3 linked regions of the Ovis aries genome follow. The protein of the gene in region 2 interacts with the protein of the main gene of each other region in a pairwise test. Links are inferred from orthologs where the notes say so. Each region holds a gene or a part of one and is shown on either strand. Other genes may lie near its edges. The genes, in order: PDE6D, ARL3 and ARL2BP.

Region 1 (4,773 bases), on a different chromosome or scaffold from region 2:
GAAGGAAGGCCTAGAAAAAGAGTAGCAGATCGCTAAAGAAACTTTAGCTTAAACTACAGTATTTATCTAGTTTCTGAAATCATATTAAAGCTTTACTGTCTGAGCTACCAGGGAAGCCCTTGAACACAGAACAAATCAAAACACCAAGTTTTACCTAGACTGAGGATAAACAAAGACTGCACTCCTTCACTTGCAGGAAAGTCACCAAATAAATGTTCACCTAATATCCACTGAAGAAAAACGTACAACCTAAAACTTGCAAGTAATGTTTTATACAGGGACCTTACTGAGGACTATAGCCCAGGAGACAGCCTCATATAGCCCTGAGGAACTGCTCCAAAAAAGAAAGGGAGGAGCCAGGATATTAGCAGTTTTTGCTGAAAAGAGAGCTTGTAGTTGAACATCAAAAGATTACTGCCAATTAACAAGAAACAGACAACTAGAATGATTTCTGTGGTTTTCTATGCATGGGAAGATGCAAGTGTCTGGGCTCATTGAAATCATTCCCTAGACATGCATCTTAATTATCTAGAGCAAGTTCCTATTTTTCTCCCTCCTGAATCCTCCTCTGGGCCCATTTTCAGCGGTGGCTTCAGTGGCTGATGGCTTGACGGTGGGCAACGTTTGTTGTTTACTGAAATGTCAGGCAACATTTTTTTGTCCACAGTATCCTCTGGGTGTTTCAACCTTGATAGGAAAACTTCACCAAGGAGAGGAAGATCGCATAGCCATGTTGCTAAAAATATCACTACCCTAGTGTAGTGCAAAAAGCCCAGACTGCAGGAGTCTTAGAGCTGAATTTTAACTCTGCCCCAACTTTCTGTGACCCCGACAATCTCTCTGCCTCTCTGGGCCTCAGTTTCTTCATACGTAAAATAACAGAGGTTAGATTAGCAAATCCTCTGAATTCTGACTGCATTGATAGTCTGAGTACACAACCTTTACATCTCTTGGTCCACCGCAGGAGCACACCAGAAATCCCTGAGAAATACCTAACCGGCTCCCCAGGCCAACAAACAAGTACGGCTTGAAGGAGTCATTCTGTTACATTCTTTTTCATGATTTAATCAGTGTTTGTGTTTGTTGTTTCAGCCTTACCATGATTTGCAGGAGATTTCTGGGTTCCATGTAAATAGAAGTTACTTGTCTGTGGGCTGTCATCTTTTGAGGCTGAAGAGGATCTTCCTGCCCGGTTTCAACCCCTGGGATTCAGAAACCACCAAGCCTACAAGCAGATTTAGGGGTTTGCGCACACTGCGCGGCACACTGGAATCGAAGTTAGAGGAACTGAGTGCGGGGAATGCTGGGATTTGTAGTCCCTGGGTTTTCTGTTGCGTGCTGGGATCTGTGGTCCCCCCGGGCGCCCCCTGGAATGCTGGGAAGTGTAGTCTCCACCACATCGCACAGGGCAACGGGCTGTCATCTCAAAGCCCTACTGTACCCAGCCGCAGGAGAGCCTCTGCAAATCTGAAGCAAACTCTCCTCTGGGACAAACTCTAGGTAACCACGCCGAATGAAAATTTTGTCCTACGGGACTTCCCCGTGAGGGCCCTTCCCATTGACGCTCTTCGTCCCCCTGCGAAGCCGCTGAGTGTTTCTATTGGTCGATCAAGATGCCAATCGCCGAGGCAGGCTTCCTATTGGCTTCAAGGCGGGCGCTCAGAGGCTAGAGGGAAGGAGAAGGGATAAGGAGCGGGAGCTGAGGGGAGGGAGAGGCCGGTTTGGGTCTGGCCGCTGCCGCTGTTCTCCCGAGGTCTTCAGGCCGGGCTGCGGCTCCGTCCTCAGTTCCTGGGCACCGTCTGCGAGGCTCCGCCAGGCCAGCGTGAGAGAGCCGCAGGCGGCGGCCGCCGCATCATGTCAGCCAAGGACGAGCGTGCCAGGGAGATCCTGAGGGGCTTCAAACTGTATCCGCCCGGGAGCGGGGCGGGGCCGGGAGGACTCGGGAGGCGGCCGCTCGCTGAGGAGACGGGCCGGGGGCGGGGGCCGCGCCAGGTGGGCACCCGAGGAGAGGGTGGCGGGAAAGGGGAACAGGAACGGCGTCCGGGGGCCCCCGGCGGGACCCGGCGCGGGAGGCGGGGAAAGGGGCGTCTGGAGGAAAGGAGGGGACGTTGATGGGAGACCTGTGGGTAGAGGCAGAGGAGCCGCCGAATGGGGCTGGGAGAGGCTCCGGGCGTCGGAAACCGGAGTCGGGGAGGCGCGCTTGGGTCCGAGAAGGGAGGCCGGGAAGGGGCTGCGGCCCGTAGGGGAGAGCCGAGGGGGCGCGGTGGGCTGACCTCGAAGCCCAGCAGCCTCTGGCGGGAAGCCCACCGGGCAGCAGGGGGAAAAGTGACTTGGAGCGAGTGACCTTGTGTGGGACAAATACAGATGCTGGTGTTGAACTCTCAATGCGAGTGGGGTTCTCGCATCCCACTCCGCACCCCCCAACCCCACCCCAGACGCCACTCCCCTTCTTGTTTCCACAACTTCTCTTCCTCACTTGTGGCTCCTTCCAGGGCTGGAGCGGAGGAAGGTTGGGAGTGAGGAGTCCGAGATGGACCTCACCTTAACTCTGTCTTGGCCCTTGGAGGCGTTGGACGGTCGCTGAGTCTCCCTCAGCTCCTCAGTTGTCTTTCTAGCGAAATGAGGACCCTAGATGTGTGCGTGAGATGCCTTGAGGCGTTTTGGGTTTGCACTGGGACTCCTGGTGAAGGGGTGTGTCTGCTCGCACAAGTTTGTGTGGTTAAGGCGTAGACATGCTGGAACTGTCCAGCAATTGTTTGATTACGTTGGGGACACTGTAGGGTTTAGTAGGGTGTAGAAATCATTGCCTCGGGCCTGTTGTGGTGCTGCAAATACTACCTTCTTACCATAGTGAAACTGTGTTTGAATGGAGTGTTTATCTGTGACCATTTGATGCAGATGGAAAAAGTGCAATCTTCTCCGTTCCAATCTCACATTTTCCTGCTGACCTTAATCTCTTCTCACATCCTATGTTTACAATATGGAACATTCTTCAGTTCGTCTCTTAATGAACATATAGTCATCCCTGTAGGGCTCCTCCCCTGGAGATTTAGTCAAGCACTGTTCTCTGAGCTGACTGTGTTTCCACAGAGTCCATTTCACCCCTGCAGATTTTCATTGCCTTGTCATAATCAGAAACCAAGTTGGTAGTAAGTTTTAGAACCCAGCAGCAAAAAAGTTTAACAGAAAGTTTTGGAGGTACAAATTAAGTTTTTCAAAGGGGAACTGACCTACTATGCTTTTTTTTTTAAGGGAAGGCAATATTACCTAAACTTACTGCCATTCATGATAAACTTTAAATACTTTCATGCAGTGAAGTTTCCTAACAGCCTCTTTTACATATTAATAGCTTCATGTACTTCCCCTGTTTCTCTTCCTGATAGTGCCTATAGATAGGAATGGCTGAAGTGTTACAAAAGCTATGACGTGGATTTTATTTTTCCCTTAAGTAATTTATATTGCTACTTTACATTTATGCTATAAACAGTAAACTGAAGACTATAAAGAATTGAGAGATTTCAGAAGCCATGTTTTTATCTGATTGGAGTTAACATGTTGCTGAAAATAAGAACGGGTCTTTCAAACCAAAAAGGGAAAGTTTGAGCTACTCACCTTCAGTCTTGGTTCTTGAATGTTGTTCAAGAGAAACTTTGGCTCTTGAGAAAGAGGCAAAGGACAAATATGGGAAAGAATAGAAAGTAGAACCTGTGTTGTTTAGTGCATCACGAAACAGGCTTTCAGGGAAAATTTGACCGGGGCTGATTAAATCACATGGGGAGCAGCCACCAAGAAAATTTAGCGTGGAGACAACAGAATATCCTCCTCTGGTAGCTTTTATTCACATCCGAGAATTAAAAGAGAAAAGAAAAGAGTTCTAGGATTTGTTACTACCTTCAGGGAAAAATAAAATTAATATTTTAATAAGAAAATACCTGTTATCCACCTTTTATTGTATAAATTGTTCCAAGTATCTTTTTCTGTAAGAAGAGTCATTTCTACAAAAAGAAATCACCATTTTATTCTCCTGCCAACAATGTTGATAGTACTTATTTTCCACATTTACTGTGTTGGTCTTTTTCTTTTTGTCAGTTTTAACAGTAGATGACATCTTGTTTTAACTTGTGTTTCCCAGATACTGCTATCTCTGGAGAGGTAACAGCATAGTGTTTAAGAGATACGCTGGCTTGAGAGCTTTACTATCTGCAGTGGAATTCCAGCTCAGGTTGTGTGTCCCTGAGGAGCTTCTTTTAACTGCTGTTACAATTTCCTTAGCAGTTAAAAAAGGATAAAAATAGTATCTTATCTCCTAGAGTTATTGTGAGCATTAAATTAGTTGATATCTAAAGCATTTAGCCAAGCACTTGATGCCTGTAAGCACATTGTATTAGCTGTTATCGCTGCCATTGTTATTATTAGAAGTCACAAAATCTGGCCATTTCTTTTTCTTCTGTGAATTGTTTGTTGATTTTGTTTTTGCCCATTTTACTATTGAATTGCGTATTTTTCTTATTGCTTTGTAGGTGTTCTTTATTGTAATGTCAATCCTTTGTGTATATTACATATTGCCAATGTTTCTCTCGACGGTTTACTTTTTTTTTGTTGAACAGAAGTTTAATACTATAAATTCATCAATACTTTTCATGTGACTTTTGAATTTTGTGTCTTGTTTAAGAAGACCTTTCTTATCTTACTGTTAATAAATATCCTCCTATGTTTTTTCTCTTTTCAATGTTTAGCTCTTTAATTCACCTGAAATGTATTTATACATATGGT
Region 2 (5,015 bases):
TATTGAAAAAATTATGTAACCTACTACCTCTCCTTAAGCAATGCTCGTCCTTCCAGGGAGAGCTGATTTTCTCAAGCAGATAGTATCAGAGTTTGGGAAACAGGCTTTCCAAACTCTTCTAGAGTATCCTTTTGCAAGGGTAGGGGAAGCACCCAAGATCTCCTATTTGAATCCCCTACTAGGGGGAAAAACAAAACATCATTGCTAGTACTCCCATCAGAGGAAGATCAAGGCAGTCCAAGACTCAAACAGTTCAAACACAAAGTCCACTAAGATGTCAAGGGCTGGTGTCAAGGCTACCTAGCTCAACCTGGAGAATGAGACTAATAATTAAACCAGCAGGCCCTGGTAGTATATGCCTATGTACAATCAAATGACCCCCTGGCAGCCATGATGTTAGACTCCAGGCAATTTTGGAAGAGAAGTCTGCTTTGCCTTTTTCACAGAAGAACCAGCAGGCTAGAGATAGGTGGAAACTTTACTTGAATGCATAAAATGTTAAGAACCATTCAGGGAAAATCTGCCTTCATTCCAACGATCTTAACTAGGCTGAAAACCTGCTGGTCTTAAAAGCAGCAAAGCCCAAAACCTGGAGGAAACTATTAACAATAGCTAAGCCCAAGGACTTTCCAGGCATTCCAGTGGTGAAGACTCTGCTTCCACTGCAAGGGCACAGGTTCGATCCCTGCTTGGGAAACAAAGATCCCCACATGCCACGCATGGAGCAGCCAAAAATAATAATTCCTCAAGAGTCAGAAAGTACTGGATTCAGGTCCCCACTCTAACCCTTAAAATAATCAATTTCTAGGGCTGTGAGAATGAAGTGAAATCTTGTATGAAAACCATCTCACTAGGAAGGATGTGATTTCCATGAGGGCCGATTTAGCCCCCTGCTGTGTCTCCAGAGTCTAGACTAAGAGCTGGCACAAATATGGTAATTCTTCTCTGCATGGGGAAGGGGTGGGAAATAGCACCCACAATCTCTCTCATTCTTTCTTGTCTAGAAGTGGAGGCCCATTTTTGCCTCCTTCAGGGCTGCAGACGGCGCACCGACCCTGCCAACTTAGTTCAGCAAAACCATCCATTCCAAACACCTTTCACCCCCGTAAGCGATCACCTCATCCCAGCCCTCACGGCCAGTCCTCAGGCAGCTTCTTGCCCTCCGGTAGGCAGCCTCCCACCACCAGGACTCCTCCAGCCTGGATTCTAACACGGATGTGTGCAGACGAGCGAGCAACCCATGACGCCCCCGCTCCTCAGCCTGGCACACGAAGGTACTGGAGGCCATAAGGGGTCCACAGGTAGCTCCTTCTCTTGCCACGTGGCTTTGGCAGGTGCAAGCCCAGCCCGCGCCGCAGCCTCGCCTGGGCAGAGTCAAGACAGAAATGCAAACTCCCTCCTGGGATCTGGGGAATAAAACCTGGCACAGGTAGATGTTGCAGGAGGCGTCCTCTCAAGATCCTTACCTGGACCCGGGAGAAACAGACTGACACAGCTGCTTCCAGAAGCAGCCCGCTTTGGCAGCCAAGCCAGGATGCACTTCTGGCCTCCGCCCGGGAACCTCCCCTCGCCCCGCCCGCACGCCCTCCCTCTGGACCAATCACAAGCCGGGTGGCCCCCGGCAGCCACGTGGGCGAGGTTTCACCATTCCCCAGGTCTGTGCAGCCCGCCGCCTTCTCCCGCCTCTCCAGCAGCCCGCCTGCGCAGTGGGAGGGCACATTGACGCGCTTGCGCACATTGGGGAAAGCGGAGCTGGACCCCGCCCCGTTCTGCTGCTTTGCTCCTCTGCCGTGCGTACGGGGGACGTCGGGGGCGGCGCCGTCGCAGTTGCCCCTGGTAACGGGGGAGGCAGGAGGAGGAGGAGGAGGGACTCGGCGGGAGGATGGTGAGTGTGAGGGCCTGGGTCCCTCCGGAGCTGGTCGGTCACCTGCTTCCCTTCCCCTGGCCCAAGGCAGGGCACTGCGCTTAAAGACAGGAGGGAACGGACTGGCGCTCAGCCTGATGTCCGGGTCCTGGATTGGTTTCGGGGGGCGGCAGGGAGTCCCGAGTGTGGGCCCTGGAGAGAATCTGGGCCTGGGGAGGAAGGCGGAGCTTGCAACCTGTCCGAAACTAGGGGAAGGGGCTGGAAGGGTGCTGGGTTGTCGCGGTACGGAGCCAGGGCTCCATCATTACTCTGGGGATTGGGATGAGGGCGGATCCGAGGAGCTGCGGAGAGCAGCTTCTGCACGCAGGATTAAATCTTCCCAAGGAATCGGCCTCCCAGTGCCGCAGGAGAGTGGGGTTCACCAGTGCCCGGCTAGAAGCGGGGAGAAGGGCCAGCGCTGCTGTCTTTGAGGTCGCGCTGGCGGTACCAGGGGAGATGGTAGCCTAGCTCTCCTGTTCCTCGCGGTGTGAGGGCCTCTGGGGGGTAAGGGTGTAAATCCCCGGACACAAAGAGGTGCCGCTTGGAAGGGATGTCTGGTGTATTTTAAGCCGTCTCGGTGTCTGAGTGGCGGGCGCGCTTCTGCAGTCCCGAGTTTTTTATTTCCTGAGGGTTCTGCAAGGTCTGGTTGTTGGTGATAGCCAGTCTCCTGTTCAATACGTGTTGGTGGAGACAGATTTGCTGCCCGATCCTTAGTATTTACTTCGGACCTGTTGCCACCTTCCTTTGCATATGACCACACCAGAAGCAAAGGCCTTAGTCTCAGTTTGGAGTAGATTAAAAAAGGAGAGTGGCCATCAGTTTGGGGCTAGCCTTGTCTCTGTCAGGCCAGAATAAAGCTTTCCCAAATACGTAAATTATGTGACGTATTTGACGCTTGACACTGTTCCTTGTTGATTTCTCTGCACTTAATTGGAGGGTATTAAAATGAAATTGAGTGGTTTTAAAACTAGTGGGAGAAACAATTTATTTCGGAGCGTTTGGAGCAGGCTGATAAATTTACCAGCTGCAGAAAGCTAGCACTCAAGCTTACAGTTCCTTCCCTGTCCCAACTCCAGTCCCTTTTTGACTTTTAGAACTGTTGAACCACTTCTATTGATTTATGAAGTAAGAAAAAGCTAGATGTCCAGAAGGAAAAAAAAAAACACATGTACATTTGGTTAGATTATCCAGTGAGTAAATTTTGATAGGAAAAATTTATTTCAATTGATTTAAAATTGTCACATTGTTAAAGAAGTAGCATTATTGGATCTGAAGTTGCCAATCACATTTCAACACTTGCTACACTGCAGTTTTATTAACCTCAGGCTAAACAGATTTTTAAATGTTTGCTTTTTATTAATCGTTTATACATGAGCTGTCCATTTAAAGGCTAAGTTTTTCTCAACAAATGAGTACAAACATAAATATTTACACAGAAAATAACTAGAATTGAAATGAAAAAGGCATGCCAAACCAACAGAGAAAGGCATGGCATCATAAAGGAGAAACGCATGAGAGCGGGCTAACTTTTCCCAGTTTGTTTATCAGTGAAGTGGACTGTGTAATTTCATGACTGTTTAATTTATAATTACAAGCCACAATAAATTAACCACTGTTTATGTTTCCAGGTACAGATTGACACTTTATACAACAAATTGACAGTGTACACAACACTATTGTATACAACTGTTGTATTCAGTGATCAAGACAGATTTTGTTTTTCTTTTTTTAATTTTTTTTCCTACAATAAATAATAAGGAATTAGGGCAGATTATTCAGGAGTCTTCATCTGGTTTCCAAAATACACTTTTTTTCTATCTCCAAAAGTATGAGCTATTTTTAGAACTCGATAAGTGGAACACGGAATTTAAAGGGTCAGTGGTATGATTAAGTATGTCATATCTGATACCCATGGGTCCCCATAGTAACTCTTCAGGAGTTCCAGGTTTATTTATTGTCTTAATCCTTCAGCTATGACTAATACATATTTATTCTTTTAAAATTTGGAATACAGCAACAAAAACACATTATTGATTTCTCTGAACCCCTAGAAGTTCAGCTATTTTACCCCTACCTTAGGATGCCAAGTCCTTGGTGAAATACTAAATTGACCGTAATTTTTGTGCATAACTAATCACTCTTGCCTGGAAAATCCCATGGACGGAGGAGCCTGGTGGGCTGCCATCTATGGGGTCGCACAGAGTCGGACACGACTGAAGCGACTTAGCAACAGCAGCAATCACTGTTAGGAGAAGGCAATGGCATCCCACTCCAGTACTCTTGCCTGGAAAATCCCATGGACAGAGGAGCCTGGTAGGCTATAGTCCATGGGGTCGCTAAGAGTCAGACACGACTGAGCGACTTCACTTTCTCTTTTCACCTTCATGCATTGGAGAAGGAAATGGCAACCCACTCCAGAGTTCTTACCTGGAGAATCCCAGGGACGGGGGAGCCTGGTGGGCTGCGGTCTATGGGGTCGCACAGAGTAGGACACGACTGAAGCGACTTAGCAGCAGCAGCAGCAATCACTGTTATTTAATAGATGAGTCCTCCATTCAGGAATTATTTATGGAGTAATTTCTGAATATATAAAGCTAGTGATATTTATCAAGCATGTTTGACATTTGAAGATTGTTCCCAAGATTATGTTTTCTGGTCAAAAATGGTCGGTGAAAAGTAGAAACATAAACACAACAACTGTTTTGAGTTCCCTCTATGTGCATGCTTCACACATCATCTGATTTAATCTTCATAGCATTCTTCTTGAGATATAAGTATTGTTCCCATTTTCTAGATGAAACTATGCTGGAGGTTACCCATCAGGATGTTGAATAAAAGTCTGTGAAACTCTAAAGCCCATAATGTATTTTTCATTAAGACTCTGATGAAGTAAGAACCCACTCCAGCTGAGGAGATGCCAGTATTTTGTTCCTCAGGGAACATTGTATTTATTTAGTAGAGAGATGAGAAAAAAGATTTGGGTGAAGTTCTCCCTAACAAAGCTATAGGAGTTCCTGGAAATTAACAAGCCCTCATTGGGCAGCACCAATGTTTTTTTGGTGAGGTAAAAATAAACTGAAGTCTGTTCCATTTAAGCCAGTTATGAGGAGTG
Region 3 (4,860 bases), on a different chromosome or scaffold from region 2:
CATTCAGGCTGGCCATCTGACCCACAGATCAAACGAGGTGAGGTGAAGTCGCTCAGTCGTGTCCGACTCTTTGCAACCCCGTGGACTGTAACCTTCTCTGTCCATGGGATTCTCCAGGCAAGAGTACTGGAGTGGATTGCCATTTCCTTCTCCAGGGGATCTTCCTGACCCAGGGATCGACCCGGGTCTCCCGCACTGGAGGCAGACGCTTTAACCTCTGAGCCACCAGGGAAGCCCGATCAAACATGAACCATATCTTAAAAAAAAAAAAAAAAAAATGAACCATATCTAAAATGTACCACATATTTGGCCAAAAAATAAAATGCAACCGAAAGACACAATGTCTAGTGATCCAATCAGAGAACAGGTCTAGGGTACCCTTTTGTAAAATTGGGCAGTTCGGAGGGGTCTTATCCTGGAGCAAAGTCACCTGATTGCGTTGCTCAAAGTGGTTTTGTCAACGTTAATCTTGCCTAGTTACCCAAGAAACGAGTTACTACCGAATAATTTTTTATGTGAATGTTCATGATGTAAATTACAAGACATCCAGTTCTTGCGGTGGGGCTGGCTTTGGTGGCTGTCTCGCGGTAGTTCCACGAGAGGGAGCAACTATCTCGAAAATCAAATGTCTGCACTATCTGGCTCAAAAGCTAAGGGACTGACTGTGGAAAGACTTCGTGATTTACAGTGCCGGCTCAGAGGTTAAACTATTTGGCTCCAATGTGGGAGACCCAGGTTCGATCCTTGGGTCGGGAAGACCCCTGGAGAAGGAAATGGTAACCCACTCCAGTATTTTTGCCTGGAGAATACCATAGACGGAGGAGCCTGGCGGGCTACAGTCCACGGGGTCGCAAAGAGTCCGACACGACTGAGCAACTTCACTTCAAAAACTAATTTGAATAACAATCTTCTTAAATCTTGTAATTCATTCCCAAGTAGCAAGTGGGTAAATCGAGGCTCTCTCTGGCCTTCCATTCCTTGCTCTTCACATTGGGTACGTCTTGGCTTTAATCGCCCGACAGCGTGGGTATACGTCAGTGAGCCCCTGACCTGCTGTATGCGGCCCAGTTTCCTCTGGCTATCCTCCATCCCTTTGCCTCACTTCCTCTCTCTATCTTTGTCCCGCCCCTGGGTTTGGGTAACGCAGACCTGTGATTGGTTGCTAGGAGCCCCGAGGCGGCGGAAGGGTCGCGGTGGCCATGGTGACGGGAGGCGGGGCGTGGTAACTGACGCCGGACCCAGCGGCGGTAGAGGGGAGTTTAGCTAGGCCTGGGAAGCCCGGGAGGCCCGGCTGGCGTGTGGCCGCAGCCGGGGACCCTGAGGCCGGGACGTCGCGCGCAGGCGCTACCCGGCTGGGCCGTGAGCCGGCCGTGGGCTCGGCGGCGAGGCCTCCCGGATGCCGGTTGGAGCTCTGCGGTGCAAAGCAGGGGCTGCGCCCGGGCCGCAGGCAAGGGTAGAAAGCCCACGGGTTCGCTCCCCGACGCGCGGTGGATGCGGCGGCGGCGATGGACGCCCTAGAGGAAGAGAGCTTCGCGCTGTCCTTGTGAGTCACGCCGCCCGAGCCCGGGAGGCTGAAGGCCGGGGCTGCTGGCGCTTGGCCTAGGCCTCCGCCCTGCGAAACCAGTGCCCTCAGTGGGGGTGGGAAACAAACAAGACTCCCCCCTACCCCACCCCACCCAAGTTCCCGCGGTGGACTCTGCCTCTGCGGCGACCGCGGGGTTTCAGGCGCGGAGGACAGGAGCGCAGCGTGGTGTCGCGCGATGATACACGCCTGTCACAATCCCCCGGTCTCCAGTCCTTAGTTGTCAGCAAAACCTGGTGGGTTTGAGCGGCCGAGGCTCGACCGCGGGTCAGAAGACCCTCCACCGCCAGCACACCACCACCCCCAGGGACTCTAATTTGCCCCTCCCTACCCCGGCCTGTGTGTTGACCGCACCAGGTTTACGCCCGCCCACGAGTAGATTGGTGTGGGGTGATAGTGAAGATGCGGTGAGTAGAACCCACAGGAAATAAATGTGAGGAGCCTTAAGAGGTCTGACGTGAGCCTTGGCACCTTTTATTTGTCCCTCTGTGAGTCCTTGTGTCCCATCAGTTTTCTGAAAGTAGATCCACTACATTAAACTTTGATGTCACTGGTGTGTAAAGTGTGTTTTCTAGAATTCATTTGAAAAGGGCCATAGTACATTTGCGGGGAGGGGGCCAGGAATTAAGCTGAAACAGTACCTAATCCAGGTCTGTTTTTCAGCTCTTCCGCCTCTGATGCAGAATTTGATGCTGTGGTTGGATATTTAGAGGACATTATCATGGGTAAGCTTCCCTACTCCGGCTCGTTAGTTTTTAGACTCTTGCTTTTAACAACATTGAAATCCACTTGTAGAGTTAATTTTTAAAAAGAGAAAACATCATGCTGCATATAATGTTTAATGTGGCATACTGAAATACGAAGTAAGCCGTCCTGTGGTTTGCCTTAAAGTCATATAGCCACTTCTCCTGAAGATAATTGATTACCATAGATTCAGTCCCCAGAAGGGAATCATTCAGGTAGCAGGGCACTTGCAGTTATGGGGCTCATGGCAAAACTTCAGCAAATATTCACTACTTTATTTCAGAGAGTAAGAGTGGTTTTTAGTCTTGAGTCTTAATATTTTTGTGACGTAGAACAGTGTAATAGCATAACCATAGCACATGTGTCCATGAGGAACAAGGTGTCATGCTTCAGCTGGTTCCGTATTTTCCTAGGTCCTGAGTTCCTATTTGTGGATTCATTTGGGCATCCCTGGTGGCTCAGCTGGTAAAGAATCTGCCTGCAGTGCGGGAGACCTGGGTTCGATCCCTGGATTGGGAAGATCCCCTGGAGAAGGGAAAGGCTACCCACTCCAGTATTGTGCCGTGGAGAATTCCATGGACTGTATAGTCCATGAGCTCTCAAAGAGTCGGACACAACTGAGCAACTTTCACTTTGGCATCCATAGGTCCTGCTAAGTATTAAGTGGTAACAAGCATCTCTCATTTAAGACAAATGTGTGGGAAAGAAAAACTTGAAAAAATCTCTCGTATGGGTGACTTTTAAGTTTGCTGAGAATAAGGAAAAGAACACTGTTGTTTAGTGTTATTAGCTGTATTTCTTAGTCTTGTTTAGTGAAAATCACTTGACCCAGTTTTGTACCTTTGGGTCCTATAAAGGTTCATGACCTTAACTCCTAAATACAGATGAAGATACAACATTAAGGTCCCATGTCAATCAGAAGATTCCTGGGGAATGCTGAGGAATACCTGGAGTTCTTTTGGCCTCTACAAGAACCTTGTGTGCAGTGAGGGAAATGAGCTTTCTGTAATCCCAGGGCATTTATTCCTACGTCTAGGCCATTTGTGAAGCATTCCTTTAGTTTTTGGAAAAGATATTCTATTTGGTTGTTGAAATTCCCTAAACCCTAATAAGTGTTTGCTGTGAATCAGTCGCTATACGTGAATCCTCATCTAAATGCCACCTAGCAATCTTTTATGATAGGTACTTTGAAGTTGAAGTTGAAGAAACTGGGACTCAGAGAAATTAACCTGCCCAAGGTTACCCAGTGTTAGTGGTTGAGGTGGGATTTAAACTCCGGTAGTCTAGCCTCTCAGAGAAGGCAATGGCACCCCACTCCAATACTCTTGCCTGGAAAATCCCATGAATGAAGGAGCCTGGTAGGCTGCAGTCCATGGGGTCACTAAGAGTCAGATATGACTGAGCGACTTCCCTTTCACTTTCCACTTTCATGCATTGGAGAAGGAAATGGCAACCCACTCCAGTGTTCTTGCCTGGAGAATCCCAGGGACGGGGGAGCCTGGTGGGCTGCCGTCTATGGGGTCGCACAGAGTCGGACACAACTGAAGTGACTTAGCAGTAGCAGCAGCAGTCTAGCCTCTATCAGAGCCCAGCCATCTAATCACTACACTGTTTCTACCACTGCAGCTGAATTTAAGAGAACCATTTGTGGAGTTCCCAAGCCACCCCGCCCTGAATGGCTGTGTTTAAACTGGGTAGAGGGTGGTGGCAGTGGTTTCACACAGTTTGAAGCCTCTTAATGCCATCGAACTTTACCCTTAACACCGTTAGCTTTCCCTCTCCTAAAGGCTGGCCATTTAGAAAGCAGTTCTGCTGCCATTTAATTCCCACGTGTTAAAAAGAATATGTTTCCTCTTGCGATTCAGATGATGAGTTCCAGTTATTACAGAGGAATTTCATGGACAAGTACTACCAGGAATTTGAAGACACGGAAGAGAATAAGCTCACCTACACGCCTATTTTTAATGAATATGTAAGTGGGTTCCTATTTCTCTTACTGGAGATTAGGATTTCTTTGAAATATGAATTTAGGATTTCTTTAAAATATGAATTTAGGATCAAATAATGCTAAAATCTGCTCAGCTTTTAGAATCTGCCACCAGCACCCTGCTAGGAAGTCTAATTAGAATTGGGTTTAGTCTTCATCACCTATTATTTTCCTTTGCATAGTTCTTGGGGCTGTTTTCCAAATAGTTAATGATCTTGTCTGTTTTAAAAACATGGTTGACTTTATCATAATCCTGCTTTCAGTTACAGTATATGGGCTCCCCATTTCTTGCACTTACATACTTTTGAGCTATCAGCTTTCACACACTATTTTTTCTTACTGCATAATTCAATCAAGTATGCATGACTGTTAGATAAAAGTGAAAACCAAGACTCAGATCACTAACTAGTTGGTGGCAAAACCAAACTAGAACCCAGGAACCTTGGCTCTGGACCCTTGGGTCTTTGCATATGCCAAGGCCCTGTGCAGTCTCCTGTTAGGGTCTCATCTGTCTGAGAAGTTTGAGCCTCCAGGACTTAATTCCTTG

The links.
Region 1: the proteins of ARL3 (region 2) and PDE6D interact in binary tests that used the Homo sapiens proteins (3 or more experiments, as listed by UniProt). The link is inferred for Ovis aries from reciprocal best matches to the Homo sapiens genes ARL3 and PDE6D.
Region 3: the proteins of ARL3 (region 2) and ARL2BP interact in binary tests that used the Homo sapiens proteins (3 or more experiments, as listed by UniProt). The link is inferred for Ovis aries from reciprocal best matches to the Homo sapiens genes ARL3 and ARL2BP.

The regions. Positions count from the first base shown.
Region 1 is NC_056055.1:233,481,714-233,486,486, reverse strand, and holds the start of PDE6D (retinal rod rhodopsin-sensitive cGMP 3',5'-cyclic phosphodiesterase subunit delta), read left to right. Parts: upstream 1-1,691; 5' UTR 1,692-1,854; coding exon 1,855-1,904; intron 1,905-4,773. UniProt on the Homo sapiens protein: Promotes the release of prenylated target proteins from cellular membranes. Modulates the activity of prenylated or palmitoylated Ras family members by regulating their subcellular location.
Region 2 is NC_056075.1:23,056,679-23,061,693, reverse strand, and holds the start of ARL3 (ADP-ribosylation factor-like protein 3), read left to right. Parts: upstream 1-1,863; 5' UTR 1,864-1,882; coding exon 1,883-1,885; intron 1,886-5,015. UniProt on the Homo sapiens protein: Small GTP-binding protein which cycles between an inactive GDP-bound and an active GTP-bound form, and the rate of cycling is regulated by guanine nucleotide exchange factors (GEF) and GTPase-activating proteins (GAP).
Region 3 is NC_056067.1:24,832,075-24,836,934, forward strand, and holds the start of ARL2BP (ADP-ribosylation factor-like protein 2-binding protein), read left to right. Parts: upstream 1-1,505; coding exon 1,506-1,543; intron 1,544-2,245; coding exon 2,246-2,307; intron 2,308-4,191; coding exon 4,192-4,298; intron 4,299-4,860. UniProt on the Homo sapiens protein: Together with ARL2, plays a role in the nuclear translocation, retention and transcriptional activity of STAT3. May play a role as an effector of ARL2.